Linked DNA regions of Tamandua tetradactyla. The protein of the gene in region 1 interacts with the protein of each later gene in a pairwise test. Links are inferred from orthologs where the notes say so. Each region holds a gene or a part of one and is shown on either strand. Other genes may lie near its edges.

Evidence for each region.
Region 2: the proteins of CRX (region 1) and GCM2 interact in binary tests that used the Homo sapiens proteins (3 or more experiments, as listed by UniProt). The link is inferred for Tamandua tetradactyla from reciprocal best matches to the Homo sapiens genes CRX and GCM2.

Annotation. Positions count from the first base shown.
Region 1 is NC_135342.1:13,270,812-13,279,127, reverse strand, and holds the start of CRX (cone-rod homeobox protein), read right to left. Parts: upstream 3,371-8,316; 5' UTR 3,227-3,370; coding exon 3,171-3,226; intron 1-3,170. UniProt on the Homo sapiens protein: Transcription factor that binds and transactivates the sequence 5'-TAATC[CA]-3' which is found upstream of several photoreceptor-specific genes, including the opsin genes.
Region 2 is NC_135351.1:13,859,132-13,867,447, reverse strand, and holds the start of GCM2 (chorion-specific transcription factor GCMb), read left to right. Parts: upstream 1-5,285; coding exon 5,286-5,375; intron 5,376-8,316. Other genes in the region: SYCP2L (synaptonemal complex protein 2-like), read right to left, coding at 899-1,019, 1,228-1,338, 1,434-1,678, 3,407-3,469. UniProt on the Homo sapiens protein: Transcription factor that binds specific sequences on gene promoters and activate their transcription. Through the regulation of gene transcription, may play a role in parathyroid gland development.

The DNA of each region.
Region 1 (8,316 bases):
ACTGATCCCACCTCTCTGTGCCTCAGTTATCTCAACTGGAAGGTGGTTCTCTGCCAGAGACATAACGGGTTTTGTTATGGATTGAAACACGTCCCCCCAAAACATCATGCTTAAGCCCTAATCCCCAGTCCTCATTTGAAAACAGGGTCATGGATGATGCTCTTAGTGAGAATGAGTCCAAACTGGATTGGAGCAGGCGCTAACCCAACACGACTGGTGTCTTTATAAGGAGAGGAATTTGGGGCCCAGACGCACAGAGAGAGATGGGACACATGACAGAGGCAGGAATCGAGTGATGCCGCCACAAGCCAAGGAAATCCATGGAATGCAGCCCTCCCACCAGAAGCCAGGGGAGAGACGTGGAGCGGGTTCTCCCCTTTAAGAGGAAGCCTGGTCCTTGATTTTGGACTTGTAGCTTCCAGAGCCAGGACACAATAGATTCCTTATTATTTAAGCCATCTAGGCTGTGGTACTCTGTTACAGCAACCCTGGAAATTAAGAGAAGCAGCATAAATGGAAGCCTGTATCACTATTTTATCCTTATGAAAATCTGATCCACCATTCCCCTTTTTTGAGATCTTTTCTTCCTTATGACCACAGGAAAAGACGTTCGGCTTCAGATACAGAGGGCGGAGGTTGACCAGTTGTCCTGGGACACAGGTGGGCTTTCAGTGCTAAAGCTGTGCCAGTCCGGTAAGCAGGGATGGGTGATTGAAAGCCAGCGAGCTGCCAGGCTGGCTGAGATATGAGGTCGCTAACTCTTAGCATTGCCTCCTTGGGAAGAAGCGTGCTCCCTGTGTCAGGTGGTCGCAGTGTGGATTGCGTAAATCGCCACATTTCCTTGGCCCCAGTAACTTGCCTTCAGGGCGTACCTCAGTTTCCTTGTTGTAAAATGGGATGAAAACAGCATTTACCTCTTTAGGTGGTTGTGAAGATTAAAGGGAATTAACACGATTAAGGTGCTTAAAATAGCACCCAATGCTTAGTAAGGCAATTATTTTTGTTGTTGTTTGCAAGCAGGTCCTTTATACAAGCATTTTAAACCCAGGATATTTATGATTTCCTAAGAGTGCCAGAAACCTCTAAGACTTGCAAAAGAGAAAATTATTAAGAAAATAATGGCACATCCACACAAGGGGAATATTATGAAGTCATGAAAAAGAGTAAGGCTGTTCTCCATGAACTGATTTTCAAAGATCTCTAGGATTATTTCATTTTCTAGGGAAATGTTGAATTTATTATTGATTGGGGTAGACAGTGTCAGGTAGATGATAACTTCTAGAAGTTCTGGTTGCAAATGATTTCTATCCGGTAAAAAGATAACCTCAAAGATTGCAGTTTTATTGGTTGTCCTGTAGAACTTTAACAAATTTTGTGTTGAACCTGGCAAATTTTTTTTCTACATGCCTTTTCTTGAATAACTGTATGAACCTCTGTTCCTTGAATTCTCATTTGAAACAGCAGGTTCCCTTCTTAGTGAGCTAAATAAATCCCTGACCTGTGTTTATTATATAGGTATTTGAGAGTCAAGTTTTTAGCTTTTTCAGAATTACACCTTTATAAGAGGTGTGTGTAATAGATGTTATGTATAATCAAATTATACATAACATATAAAATACATAACATATAATACATATAATACACATTTTATATACATATATACATGACATATATTCAAATAAAAAGTATGGTACTGAGCAGTGTGTAGCATATGCTACTTTTTGTGAATTTAAAAACAAGGCAGTGGATATATATATATATATATGCACATACATACACTATATATATATATATATGGTCTAAAGATTGTTGTATGTGTATAAAAGTGTCATATGATATATGCTTGTATATGCATAGAACAAAATCCAGGAAAGAAACAAGACATTGGCAGAACTGATTGCCTCTGGAGAGGTGTGCTGTATCCACTCCCCATTTTTACAGTTTGGATTACTTTTTAGCCCTGTGTGCCTGTGTGTCACCTTTGCAGATGCAAAACCAACAAGGAGATCTCAAAACACAACCACAACTTGAAAACTTTCCAAGCTCCCTATGGCCCTGGGGACAAACATCAAACCCTCAAGATGGACCCAGGAAACCTGTCAGCCTTTCTGGGTATTGGCCTCAGCCGCTCCCCACATCAGAAAGGTTGAGATAAGCCCCCTTCCTCTACCAGGTCCCTCTCACTCAGACACCATCTCTCACCCTCTACATTGGGCGTCACATACACGCCGGCACATTTTTTTCTCTCTCTCCTGTCATTCAGGACATACCCTATATTAAATAGGACATACATGTTTGTTTGTCTGTCTGTCCCCCGATTCTACCAGCAGGGACTAGACATAACTTTTAGTTCAAGCATCCCCAATAAATATTTGAAAAATAAACAAATGAATAAAAAATGGATGGCATTTATTTTAGCACCCACGACCCCCTCTCTTCCATCTTATCCTTCACAGGAGTAGGGAGAGGTCCTACTTACTAGAAATTAAGTTTCTCCTGTTCATTGTGTTAAGTACCGCTGAGGGTCCGCCTGTTTTAGGAACTGGGAATATCATGAGAAATAAAACACACGTCATTTCTGTTCTCACACAATTGAACTTACGGGTTGCAGTCAGAGAAACTGACGATGAACAAAGAGATAGATTTTTTGAAAATCAAGATGTTTTCAGATGGTTTTTAGAATGCCGAGGGAAATGCCGGGTGTGGGAGGCAGGACGGTGACCAGATCTGGTGGGAGTGGAGCCCCATTTGAGGGGGGGGTGGTCTCTCCGGGGAGGTGACACCGGAGCTGAGATGTGACAGCCCACACGCCCACCCTGGGAAGATCTTGGCAGAAGGAACAGCAGGTGCAAAAGATCAGGAGGCTTCTTGGAGGACAAACAAGGTGTCCAACATGACAGGAGCAGAGTAAGCAAGTGGGAAGCGGAGTCGAATCAGCAGGGCCAGGAGGGACGGGCATACGAAGTTCTGTGCAGATAAGGACGATGACAGCACGGAATCCCACACATCCAGCCCTGGTAGCCAACCTCCAAGATGGTGCCTGACCATTCTCTCCTGACCGTCATACCCTGAGTACTGGCCTCCATGGCAGAGCTGACCTGCGTAGCCAACAGGACATGACAGAAATCTTATAGAAATATTACAGCCTCTAACTTCTGAGGCTAGAAGACCTGGTGACATCTGCCTTGCTGTCTTTTCCTGGATCGCTGGGAAAATCAGCCGCCATGTTGTAAGGATGCTCAAGCAACCCTGCAGAGGTCTCTGTGCAGGGAAACTCCTGCCAGCAGCCACGCAAGAGGCCACCTTGGAAGAGACTCCCCCAGCCTTCATCAAGCCTTCGAAGGACTGCAGCCTGGTACACATCTGCCTGCCCCCCTTGTGAGCCAGAACCATCTGGTTAAGCCACCCCTGGATTCCTGACCCCCATTAACACTATGAGGTAATAAATGTTTAATGTTTTCAGCCACTGAGTTTTGGGGGAGTTTGTGACACAGCAATAGGTAAGTAATACACAAGCGTCCCCTTTGCAGCATGCCATTAAATGCTCAGCACAACCCTAGGAGGTAGGAACTGTGTTATTATTTTGCCCACCTTTTAAAGATTATTTAGTTTTTAGAGCAGTTGTAGGTTGATGGAAAAAATCATGCAGAGGGTTCAGAATTCCCGTATACTACACACACACAGATTTCACCATTACAACCGACAAACCAATATTATTATATTTCAATTATTAACTAAAGTACATAGTTTACACTAGGGTTCATGCTAATGTTGTACAGTTCTGTAGTGGTTGTTTATTATTATTACTATTGTGGTAACACATATACAACATACAATGTCTCATTTTAACCACTTTCAAGTATTCAATCCAGTGTATTAATTTCATTCACAATGTTGTGTGACTGTTGACACCATCCATCACCAAAACGTCCCATCACCCCAGATGTTACAGATGAGAAAAGACTCCTGGATCTGGCAAAATGACTTGCCCAGTTTCCTAAAGGAATCTTGGGGACCTGGGATTCCTGCTCTCCCAGCTGGGGACCCTTCTGCCCTCGTCCACTCTTCCAAGGAGCAATAGTGCTTGATCTGAACTTGTGGAGAGGGGAACTGGTGGACTTGTCCTAACAGGCTCTGGGAAAAAGCACCAACTTCCCTTGTCCCCATCGTTGAATCTGCACAGGTTACTCAGCTATGCAGTTGTCCTTCCAGGACGTTGGGATGAGCCCATTCCACCAGTAGGGAATCTGAGGCTCTGAAGGAAGAAGGCGCCTGCCCAAGGTCCAGCAATGCTAATGGCAATGACCTCCAGGAATTGAGGGTTTACACACTCACCAGATATCCAGGAACTGGTGGGTGGACAAGATGTCAGCAAAGACTAGCAACAAAAAATAATGTCTAACACCCATTAACACTCTTGTTGTGGGTTTTGCAAAGAGGTGAGGCAGCCGGTGACAGAAGGAGCTCCAGGAGTTTGGAGCTTCTCAGATCCCCAGCCAAAGGCTTTGTGTCCAAGATCTCAGCAAGGCCACCCCCTTCCACCAGGAATTTGCAACGAGCCTGACAGCACCCCGAGTGGCTAGGTTTTACTATCCTTCAGTCTCGGTTGTATTCCAAGACAACATTTCATTGTCCCAAAGGGTGGAGCGAGGGGCGACCCCTGCCCTGGGGAGCAGCCCTTGAGGCCTGAGACTGCTTCTCAGAGCTCCAGGTATCGCGTGTCCCAGGGGTCCCGAGTTTCCCCTGAGCGCTTGATCTGCAGGCTAAGTGTGAAAGCTGGAGATAAACCCCTCCTGTAGGTGGAGAAACTGAGCCCTGGGGCAGGAAGGTGCCTGCCAAGGTCAGGAGGCTGTTAACGATAAGGACCTCCAGGGATTCCCGCCTGCACCAGGCCTTGGGGAGGAGACAGCAATCCAGTGAAAGCCCCCTATGGGGTGGGTCCTGTTGTCACCAAGGAGGAAACCAAGGCTGGGAAAAGGAGGGCCCTGGGGCTGTCACGCAGGTCAGTGGCTGACCCGGCCCCTCCCCGAGCCTGTGGCCCTCCTGGCCCCTGAGCTCCCAGGACTGGCTCAGAGTCTACCCTCACTCCCTCTTGCTGCAGCCGCAAAATCTCAATGACCCCTGCATACGCATTTCTTGGATTCTATTTTGCTTATTCACCCGTCTGTCTATTCAGCCATTACAGAGGCGGCCGACCACATGCCCAGGTCCTTGGAGGAAATCTGGGTTCGGTGAGGGACACAGATAATTTGTGGATAAACTCACAAGTGAGTATGAATTCCAAGCAGTGATATGAGTCTTAAAAGAAAGGGAGGCAGGCTTCGGAGTTGCCTGTGAGCAGAGCCGAGGAGCCCTGGTCCCTGAAAACCGATGGAGCGTCACCTTAGCACCTCACCAGCAAGCACCACCCCCCAATCCTCTCTACCTGGTGGCAGTTCCCCCATAGTCTACCCTTACTCCCTCCTGCTGCAGTCCCAGCCCAGCCCCGTTTCTCCCAACACCGGGATGATGCCCCTGCTGCAGGTGGGCTCAGTCAGCCCACATTGAAGACCCCCTTTATGTCAGACCCCACGCCGGGCGCTGGGGACACAGGCACAAAGAAGGCAGACACCCCCTCCCCCATCCCCGTCTCCTTCCTTTGGCCCCACTGCCTGCCTTGCACGCACTCACCTTTTGGAAGGAGGGATCGGGGACTCTCCCGACGGCCCAGGTCCTGGACCAGTCCTCAGGGAACAGAGACCGAAGGAAACGGGACCCCTCCCACGGAGAGGTTTTAAGCCCCGACTGGGAGTGATGTCACTTGCCGTGGCCTGGTTCTCGGAGGGTAATCCTGGCCAGGGTGGGGGAGCGCCTGGGCACCGGGAGGTGACATTGCCGGGAGGGGGAGGGGCACCCCTCTGCTTAATCCTCTCCCATCCCCCTCCAAGACATCTTGGCAATTAGGGCTGACGGGGAAGGACAGCCCCAGCTCTTGCCTCTGGCCGGAACCCCCCCACCCCCACCCCTCAGGGAAGTTCTTCCTTAGGTCTAACTGGTGGCTCTCTAGCTTTGGCCATTGTCCCAAGGAGGGGGATGAGGGATGCATCAAAGAGGACGGAGGGGAAATGTTGGGTGCTCCTGGGAGATCACTTGATAAAACGAGGGGCACAGGGACTTTCTGGACCCCTCTGCTGAGTCCCCCTTTTGCTCCAGCAGTCTGCCTGCCAACAAATTCATTTCTGCACTGCCTTGCTGTTTCAGCTTTCTGCCTCAGTTTCCTGTTTTTCTCTTTCTCTGCCTTGGTCTCTTTCACTCTTCTTTGTCTCTTCGGCTCTATGTTGTGAATTATTAACTTCAACTCTCTCCATTTCCTCTTTGCTCTTCTCTCTCCTCTCTCCTTCTCTCCCTCTCTCTCTCTGTCTTCCCTGCCCATTGGCTTTGCGTCTCTGTGCCTCAGTCTCTCTTCTGTCCATCAGGCATGTCGGTCCATCTCCCTGTGTGCACTCTTCTCACCTCCTGTCTCTCTCCCTCCCTCTGTGATTCTCTACCTCTCTTTGGGTCTCGGTCCATCTCTCTCTGTCCCATGCCACCCCCTTTCTGTCTCTCTCGCTCAGCCTGTATCTCCCTGCACCCGTCTTTCTCTTTGTCCCTCATTTTGCTGTATTTCTCCATCTGCCCCATCCCCAGCTTAGCCTCACCGTCTGTCCTTTATCTAACTCCCCTACCCCTCTCAACCTCCAATCTTCCCGTTTCAATCTTTCTTTCCCCGCATCTTTCTCTGCCTCTTTCTTTCTTCCCCTGTTAATTTCCCTTCACGTCTTGTCTTTCTCCCTGCCTTGGCGCCTCCCTTGCTCTGTACTTCTGATTTCCCCCATCTGTCTTCTTGGGCTGTCTTCCCCCTGTGCTTCTCTCCTCAAGTCTGACTCTCTGGATGTTATGATCTCCCTGAGCCCCGGGCCCCCCTATGAGTCTGCTCTCCTTCCCCACATGCACACGCGCTTGCACACGCACGTGCGGTCATCCCTCTTTGTGACAGGGGCATTGTGTCTGACTCTAGGAGACCCTTTCTCTTCCCAGCCCGCCCCACCCCAGGGCAGCCTGCTAGGAGGGGTCACGCCCAGCAGCCTGGCTGGGGAATCAGGGCAAGTCTCATCAGCTGGGGAAGCCAGGATGGGAGGGAGGGAGGGGCTTTCTGACCCTCCGTGGCCCTGTCAGGACCCTGCTGGTGCGAGAATCCCGGGCCTTCTGGCCCGCAGAGCAGAGGAAGGAAGGGTGGCCCGGGGGTCCAACCCAGGGTGGAAGGTAGGTTTCGGATGGTCGAGCGCAAGGTCCTGGGGTCACCAGGCTCACCTCACATCCGGGACAAGAGGAGCTCTTTCCTTCCTTCTCATCTGTACCCAGGGACCAAAGCGGAAACCTGAGCATTAGTCTTCCCCCGGGGACTTTTCCTCAACCCTACAGCCAATCCATCCGCAAGCCCTGTCATCGCTCCTTTCACACGACTGGCCTGAAAATTGAAAAACATTGCTGAGAGAAATTAAAGAAGACCCAACTCAATGGTGAAATATAGCACGCTCATGGGTCGGAAGACCCAATATGGTTTCTCAAACTTAATCTTTAGATTCACTGCAAAACCCAAATCAAAATTCCAACAGGATTTTTTTTTTTTTGTAGAAATTGACAAGCTGATTCTAAAACTGTATGGATAGGCAGATGGTCTAGATCGGTCAATAAAAACCTTAAAAATATCAAGAACTTATACTATCACACTTCAAACCTTGTTATTATAAAGCTACAATAATCAAGATAGCTGGTATTACATAAAGATAGGCAAATGTATCATTGAGAAAGACCAGGCAGTTCAGAACTTGACCAAAAATTTAAGGTTAATTGATTTTTGACAGAGGCCAGTGTATCAGAGAAAGGAAAATATTTTCGATAAACAATGCTGAAACAGCTGGTTATCACACATAAAAAAAATACACCTCGATCCTTCCCTCACACCATACCCCCAAATTAGTCTGAGGTGGATCATCAAGGCAAAACCATAAATCTAGACAAAAAAGCAGAGAAATATTTCTTGACTGGGGGATAGGCATCCGTTTCTTAGGACACGGAAAGCAGTGATCATATAAAAGAAGATTGATAAATCAGACTTCATCAAAATAAAAAAAGTTTACTCTCCCAAGGACTCCATTAACTTAAAGAACTGCAAGGTACAGTTTTCCAGAAAGTATTAGCAAAACATCCCTTGCAAAGACCTTATTGAATAGATAAGGTTTCTACCCTACATCTCAGTAATAAAATGGCTTGAAGAGACACGCCCCAGAAGAAAAT
Region 2 (8,316 bases), on another chromosome or scaffold:
TGCTCATGTCACTGATCATAGGTCTAAGTGACTTTTTAAAACTTTTTTCCAACCTTTGTTAATACTTTCTGGGACAAATACAGTACAAACTACCACAAGAAGCAAAGTAAATATCCTTTGAAAAAATGATCATATCAAATACATTTAAACTCTGTAGTAATAGCTACAAATTAAAAGAAAGGTTTGAATTAAAAGTGTTTTCAGAATGAGAGCTTGTAAAATGAAATTGTCTTTCAAGCCCAGTCCTGTGCTTAAGTTTGCTTCCGATTTATATGTATTTTAAATGCCACTCTGGGAAGTTTATCTTAAATTTTAAAGATCAAATATCAAGAACCCAGGGAAGCGTCCAAAGCATGGAGTAGCAAACTGTGGCACATTCTCAAGCGAACCCGCGTCTGCCAACGGCTCACATTACACGGTCCAATAACTACACAATTATATTAAATATCTACTCCCTTCAACCAAACATTCATTGAAAAGTGTAATACATAAAAAAATATCTTTTAGAAAGTCTCTAAAGCGTTTTTATTTTTTTTAAACCTAGTTTAGGTTAACAGTCCTACTTTAGCTGCTGAATTTGAACCAACCCTTTAAATATCAGCATATTTTACAATTTTATTATCGTCGTTATTTATAAATATGGAAAATAGAATGAATTCAAAACCCCAGCTCCACACTCGTTTACTTTTTCCCCAGCAGAGTATTCAGTAAATGAATTACTCCGCCCACTGGGCGCTACGGAGTCCCCAGCTTCCCGGGCGCCTTAGGGGCTAGAATTTCTAAGGGACTCAGCTGAAATTGCAGCACCAGGGACCGCAGTTCTGGGCCCGGTGGGTTAAGGTCGCTGCAATTTTTATGCAAGAGGGGAAGGAGGACTGGCAAAACATCCCCCACCAACCTGAAAAGAACTACCTCGCTGGCTCTGGACATAAATTCTCCCGTTCCCTTCCTGTGCTTCGTAATGAGGGAGCAGAAGATTGTATCCTGCCTCGTTGTCTGATTGAAACTCTAAAGCAAACCTAAGAAGGCAGAAGCGCTCAAAGGGCCCGGGAAGGGCTCGACCTTTGGCGGCTGGGGACCGTGCCCCGCGCGCGGGATTCCCAGGCGAATACGCCAGGCTCTGCGCCCGAGCGGTGAGGACCTGGGGCTGGGGGACGCCGCGCCCTCACCGCCACCCGCGCGACGACGGACGACTCACGGCTCCCGGGAGTCTCCCCGGTCCCTCACCGTCTGCATCCCGCGTCTCGGGTTCGGACGCCGCACACGCAGGGCTGGAGCGCTCCAGCCGCGCTGAGGTTAGGGATCTTCACCGGGGACGCAAACTGCTGAACCCCGCCGCTGAAATCAATTATAGCCTCGTGGTGGCGACTCAAGAAATGCGTGCAAGAAGCTAGCAATCACCATCAGATCACCTGGGCGCGCGTCTCCCCCACCCTCCAACACGTGCGCCTTTGAGAAAGCGAGTACTCAGAGGTTGTCTGCAAGGCCCCTTGAACTTTTCGTTGCGTGAGTCTTCCCAGGCTTTTCGCAGGCCCGCCTTACAGTTTACTCTCCGCCTTAAAACACCTGCAGCCTGGTGGGCTGTTTTGGATTCATTAATACAGTAATAATGTATAGGCAAAAGCTGAAACTTCTTCCCATAGCGATCAGACTTGGACTCCAAATAGCGGATAGATTCCTAGTATTACAAAAGAAGATTTTTGTTTGTTTGTTTTAAGTACTGTGGCTATAACAAGTCAAAACAAACAAATATTTTCACCCACTTTGGCTTCCTTTCTGTTCACTTCCTTTAAGCAGACAAGAATGTGCACCAATGACAGGGTCTGAAGCGGGGAGGCCATCTGGTTATTTGCTCACAGTGGCAAAAATAAATGGATCTCGAGTTTTCTTTAAAGACAAACGAATGAACAAAAGTCCTCAAATCCAAATATTCCTTGCATAAAAATCGACTTGTCCTATAACACGTGACGTGGGTTTTCATGGCTTGATGTTTCAAGAAGATATTTGTTTACCTCAAAGTAGAACATAATATATGACCAAAATCTCTGTAAATCCAGGTTTATGCATTTGCCTCCAAGTTCACTCAAAACGATGCTAATTGCACAGTTCCCACTTTCTGGTATGCATGGTGTAAATATACCTAGATTAATTTACCTATTTTAATCTAAACCTAGGAAATTCGAAGGCTTGTTCTTTTCCTTTTGAAGTAATGGGATATTACAATATAAAAATAGTAATAAAGGAAAGGACAGCTGGCAACATTATAAATTGTTCTGAATTATTGCAAATACCAGGCAAGAAAGACTTAAAGGATAATTAAAACCACGGTAAAATACAGTTGAAAATGCATTTGTTTTGGGAAAAATAACACAGCGAAGCTTTTCTTATTAGGTAGAAATTTTTGCTAAATTATTTTCAGACTTTTGGGAAAATATTTTTCCAAACTCTAGGATGTGATGCATTCACGTATTCAAAAGACATTAAAGATAACAGACAACAGTGTCACTTATTTTAATTGTTATTATACTTTGATTGGATTCTTTTACTAACGTGTTTCACCCAACCATAATTTTAGGTCAACTTGAAACATATCCTCTATTTGTTCTCAAACTAAACGTGATGGAGGCTTTGTGACCTTGTATTTTGGACACCAGAATCCATTTAGAAAAAGCATGTGATTAATGGTTTTTGCCTTTAACATTAAAAAGTTATATTTGTTCATATTTTTTAAGGGTAAGGACTTTCTAGGAACTTTCTGAAAGCATACAGGCAAGAAACAGTCTAATAATGTTTGTAAGAAAACCAGAAGTTCATCTCTGTGCATTCTCAGAGGTAACTTTAAGTGAATATTTTTAAAGGTGCTTTTAAAGCATTTTTTTTTTTTACATGGGCAGGCACCAGGAATCGACCCGGGTCCACGGGCAAGGCAGGCAAGCATTCTTACCTGCTGAGCCACCGTGGCCCACCCCTTTTAAAGCATTTTAAAGTATAAATTATCTGAAACGATCACATTTGACAAAACATCAATTGCTGAGAGAGAGAGAGAGAGAGAGAGAGAGAGAGAGAGAGAGAGAGAGAGAGAATTGTTAATTTTGTGTTTTGCAGCCCAACAACAAAAAGGAACTGAATGAGAGGAGTTGCTGGGACCTTCTTGAATCCAAAGGTTAATATGAGTCTGTGGCTCATAATCCTGGGTGAAGAGCAGACGCATCTCTTCGTTTCCACCTACACCTTCACAGCGACCAGCTGAGAGCGCCCCTAATCAGAAACCCTGAGAGACATGGCCGTTCAAGGAGGGGAACTTTGGGGGACAGAAGGCTGGGGAATGAACAGATCCACATTCCAGGACTTTTCTGCTGTGCTTAGGACAACTCCAGGTTAAAACTAGAGGAAGAAGAAAACGCACGGAACTGCCCCAAGCTGGCATTTCCCCCGGCGGGAGCTCGCCACTGGCGGGCTGCCACGACATACATTTCGCTGTCCCGTTGACTTTTCTAAGGAAGCGTGCCTATGCCCGTGATTCTGGAGGTAAGAGGATCGCGAGCGTGGAGCAACTTCGCCTTCTGGGGCTTTTTTCGCACAGACGCGCCCGCCTTTTCCTGCCTTGGCCAACACGAGGGGCTAATCCTGCGAGAGGCACCGCCGCATGCGCCCCGCAGCAGAGACCTGCGCAGGGGTAGTCGGTGCGCCCGGCTCGAGCTCCAGGCGGTGTCAAGGTCAAGGTCAAGGACGCCGCAGACTTCGGGTTTGGCGGAATGCGAGCCGCCTTTAGGGGCCGGTTTACCTGTGGCTGGAGCTGGGGACCCAAAGGACGCGGCTGCCTAACACCGGAGCAGGGAGTACATTCTGGAAGCCCATCTTTCCTCGCTGCCCAGCGCCCAGGTGTGACCAAAAGAGCAACTTAATTTCTTCACTCGATTTCCTTTATTGGGCGCCTCCAGGAGCGGGAATCGCCCCAGATGAGGAGATGAGGTGAAGGTGAGGTGATCAGGCAATCAGTCGCTTAGGTGCCCAGGTGAAGAAGGCCTCTTCCCGGCCCTGGGGAACCCACAGCATCGTTTGCCCTCTGGGACGGGGCCCTCCAGCCCCCAGAAAACCTCCCGAGCCTGGCATAGGAGCAGATATGATTTTGTCATGGTATTTCTATGACCATACCAATATTGGCGATTTTTAAAGGGTTGTTTCAGGTGGATGGCAACCAAGAGCTCACTGAATAACAATCCTTCGCTTAAAAGACAAGAAACTGAGGCCCAGAGGGAGCCCAGGCAGGAGGATGAGCTCTGGATCTGGAGAGACGCTCTGGCCCAGCCTGGAGCCGAGAAACTCACCTCCACCCCCACCCACCCCCACCCCCGCCCCTTTCTCACGCTACCTTCCCCAGGCTCACCTCTCCCCGCCTTCCCTCACTTCTCCTGGCTTCACTTTCCAGGACCCTCTTCCCGCAGAGCAGGTCCCTCTGCAGGGCCCGGCAGCGTGGGTGCGCCTGGGCTCCGCGCTCCCGTCCACGTTCCCAACAGGCAAGCACGGGTACAGGGGCCCAAACACGGCTCACCGCCAACCCAGAAGGGTGCGACCTTCCGCACGCCCAGGGCCCCACGCACGACTCCCCTACTGTCCCAGATTTGTCTTGGCTCTGAGAGGACTAGGCTGGAACACCCCTGCTTCAAAAACCTCCGCCTGAGTCTACTACTCACCTTCGGAGGAGGGGCTCTTTAGAAAGAAAAAGAAAGAAAGAAAGGGTTTAAACTTAGATGAGATAATCTGATCTCCTCACATTACCTTCCACCCCCACCCACCCCAAACCCCAATCTTGGCTGCAGGTTCCCTCGCCCCAAGGGCTCTGCTCAAAGCCCCCCTAGGTTCCTGGCGCTGGAGTGGAGGGGAGGCGCGGTGGAGGTGGGGAGGGTGGCGAGGGTGGCGAGTTGAGCGCACGTCTATATAAAAGTGCTGCAAACCCGCAAGAAGCGCTGTAGCCGCCGAGGCTACGGGTGGAGACCTTTCAGCACCACGAGGGAGGACAGGGCTCCCCTGGGTCCCGCACCCTCGTCTGATACTTCGGATTTCTGAACAAATTGCAATCTTTCCATCTCTCACTCACTTGCTCGCTGTCTCCCTCCCTGCTCCTTTACCTCTGTCTCCATCCCTATGCAAACATATCGCGCACGTCCACGCGCACCACTTTCTTTTTAAAGAGAGTCACCCAACGCACCTCTGGGTTTTTGTGTGTGTGTGTGTGTGTGTATCTTTCAGGATCCTGGGCTGAAAGCGCGAGCGAGGCGAGGCAGATGCCGGCCGACGACGAGCGGAAGGCAGACTGCGTGTGCCCCTACGGGATGAAGCTCACCTGGGACATCAATGATCCTCACATGCCTCAGGTACATGACACCGGGTGTGCACGCGTGCGTAGCGTTGTCCACCCAAACAATGGGGCCTGACATCCAAGTCCCTTAATTCTGTGGACAGACACCCCCTACCCCCCACTCCTACCACCTTCCCTTCCAGCCACAGATCCACAGCCCTCAAATGTAGAGAGAACTCCAGACTCTAAAGATGGTAGGATTGAGTTTGAAGATATATCATCTCCTAGCTCTTTCCATGCACTTGCCCGAAACCAGACGGAAAAGGGAACAGGACAGGTCAGGAACTGTCCCTCAGGCCCCACGTCGGGGAGGGAAGAGTACGCCTTCCCTTCACTCTCCTTTGAGCAAGGTTGGCTTTAGGGGTAGAGATCAGCTGCCTATCCCCTTATCCATTCTTTGAAATCCATGAGGAACTGATGGGAAAAAATCGCTCTGAGTGGAATTACTTCTCAGCAAAACAGCGAGCGACAACTATAAATCGCGGTGACCCGAATTGTCAACAACAATAAAAAAACATGACTTGGGCAATTCATTCAGTCGTTCCCGGCAGGTGGGATCAAGCAAGGCTTCTTAGAGGCCCCTTTCTCTTCCTAATCACACCAAAAGCCCCCCAAGAGCCTCTGAAGTTTAGATTTTGGACATAAATTCTGAGCTCAGTCCTTCTCCAACAGCAAGAAAATCTTCATCCTTTTAGAGTGAATTAGATTTTTTTTTTAATGGCCCAAAGTAGTTTGGGACCAAATCCAGAGAATGAGCTAGGCAATGCGCTGACCGGACTGGTTCAGGTTTTTAAAAACTGAACAACTTTCTTTAAAGTCCTGAGTTATACTTGACAGGAGACAGAGTGGCTCTCCAAGCACTGACAAAGAATATGCAATATATCATAGGGATGGTATGATATGCTTGCATTTATTCAGCATCATTATGTGTCAGCGTTCAGATGGACAGCAATTCATTAGAAGGTTCTGTAGCCTTTCAAAGGGATTAGCCTTCTTTTGGATATACCTGTTTGTGGTTTTCTTTTTGCTTGTTTGTTTTAAAGTTTGCTTACTTGGGAGTCATACTGTGCCCTTTTTGTGCAGTTGACCACAATACATATGTGCTTTGCATCCTCACCAGCTTCTGTCTACTTAGTTGTCATAAGAAACCAATTTATAGTAGCGGGTTTTTTGTCTGTTTGTTTTTGTATGCTGTATGGTGGGGTTACATTTCATTATTTCTCCATGTGAGTATCTCATTGTTGCAGCACCATTTGTTGAATTTTGTTTATTTGTTTGTTTCGCTTGTTTGTGTTTTCGGGAAGTGCATGGACCAGGAATTGAACCTGGGTCTCCCTTATGGCAGGCAAGAATTCTGCCACTGAACTATTCTTGCACCTTCATAAGAAACCAATTTAATATTGCATTTTAAGAAACAGGCTTGTATCCAAATAATGTAAAGATGGCTCATTTCAAGTAGCTTCTAGACTGCCTATGTTAATAAGAATTATTTTCCTTTGGGGGACCAGATCTTAAGCAGAGAGGGTGTGGAACTTGTCAGGAGGGAAGGGATAGGTACCCTAAGAGGTAGAAAGAAAACTGCAGGCTGAACTCCTAATCCCAGCCCTGCTCTGGCTCACTAGGGGAGAGAGTGTACGGACCATATGACTTTGAGAATGTCCCTGAACTTGCCTTAGTCATAGGCTGCTCACCTGTCATCACGTGGTGGAACTAGATAACAATCTGAAAGCTTCCTCCAGGTCTGCCATCACTTTCAGAGTGTGTGTGTGTGTGTGTGTGTGTGTGTGTGCATGCGTGCCCACACCAACACATTACAGCTAATGAAACCCAATCCTGGACATCCTTCACTGTTTTGATTTTTAAAAATATAGTTTTTGTGGCTTCACCTCTATGGTCACTACCTCATTAGCTGGTGTGAGACATGTGGACCTGATCCGCACCCATAAAAGAACTAAAAGAACACCCCCTTCTGGAAAATTGACAACTTGTAACTAAGATCCTCAAAGTGAAATATCTGCCTTTAAAACAAAGATATTTACATTTGGAGTTGATTTCATCACTCTATAATTCATCATGACTATTAATTTATGTCAATGACAATGTTTCAGAGAGACACTAAATAAGACCTGTTATCAATAATAATGATTTCAGTGTCATCCTTGTGGCTTTGGAAAGAAAATCACCCTTTTACCTTACTACTGTTAGAACGTAGAATACTGAGGACTTGTATGCAAGTCTGAATTGGCCAAGCAAAGAATGCTTTTACTTTGCAAATGTTGCACCTAATTTCCCTAGGGTGGTGTGAGGGAGAGGAGGTGAAAACAGCTTACCGCTGGGCCTCTGTCATGCTGCTAAAGCACGTGGGGCGTGGCTGCCACATATCTTCTGTTTAAATTCCAGTTGTGCCACTGTGGAAGGTTATCTTCTCTATTAGATAGTAATAGGATGCCCACATTGCAGGGTTGAAGTGCGGATTGCAGATACTGCACAAGAAACCCCTACATCAGCACAGCCACACTAACTCTGTAAAAAATTCTGTCATTGCAATGCAAAAGCCACAGTAGACAATACCTAAACAAATACCCGTAGCTGTGTTCCAGTAAAGCTTTATCTGTGGATACTAAAATTTGAATTCTACATAATTTTCATGTGTCACAAAATCGAATTCTCCTTTTGATCCCCCCTCAACCATTTAAAAATGTAAAACCAGACTTAGCTCACAGCCTGCACACAAACAGGCAGCAGGTGGGATTTGGCCACTGGGCTGCAGTCTGCACCCCTGCCCAAGAGAGTGCCAAGGAAATAGTGAGTGCTCAGTAAAAGGGAATTTTGTATTAAACTCATAGACAAGAAAGATCTTTACTGTAGTAAAAATGATTCATAAAGTATATGTAGGCCATCAAATGTGAATAGTAAAGCAGGGCTGGATAATTTAGAGGTAACTTGGTATTTCAACC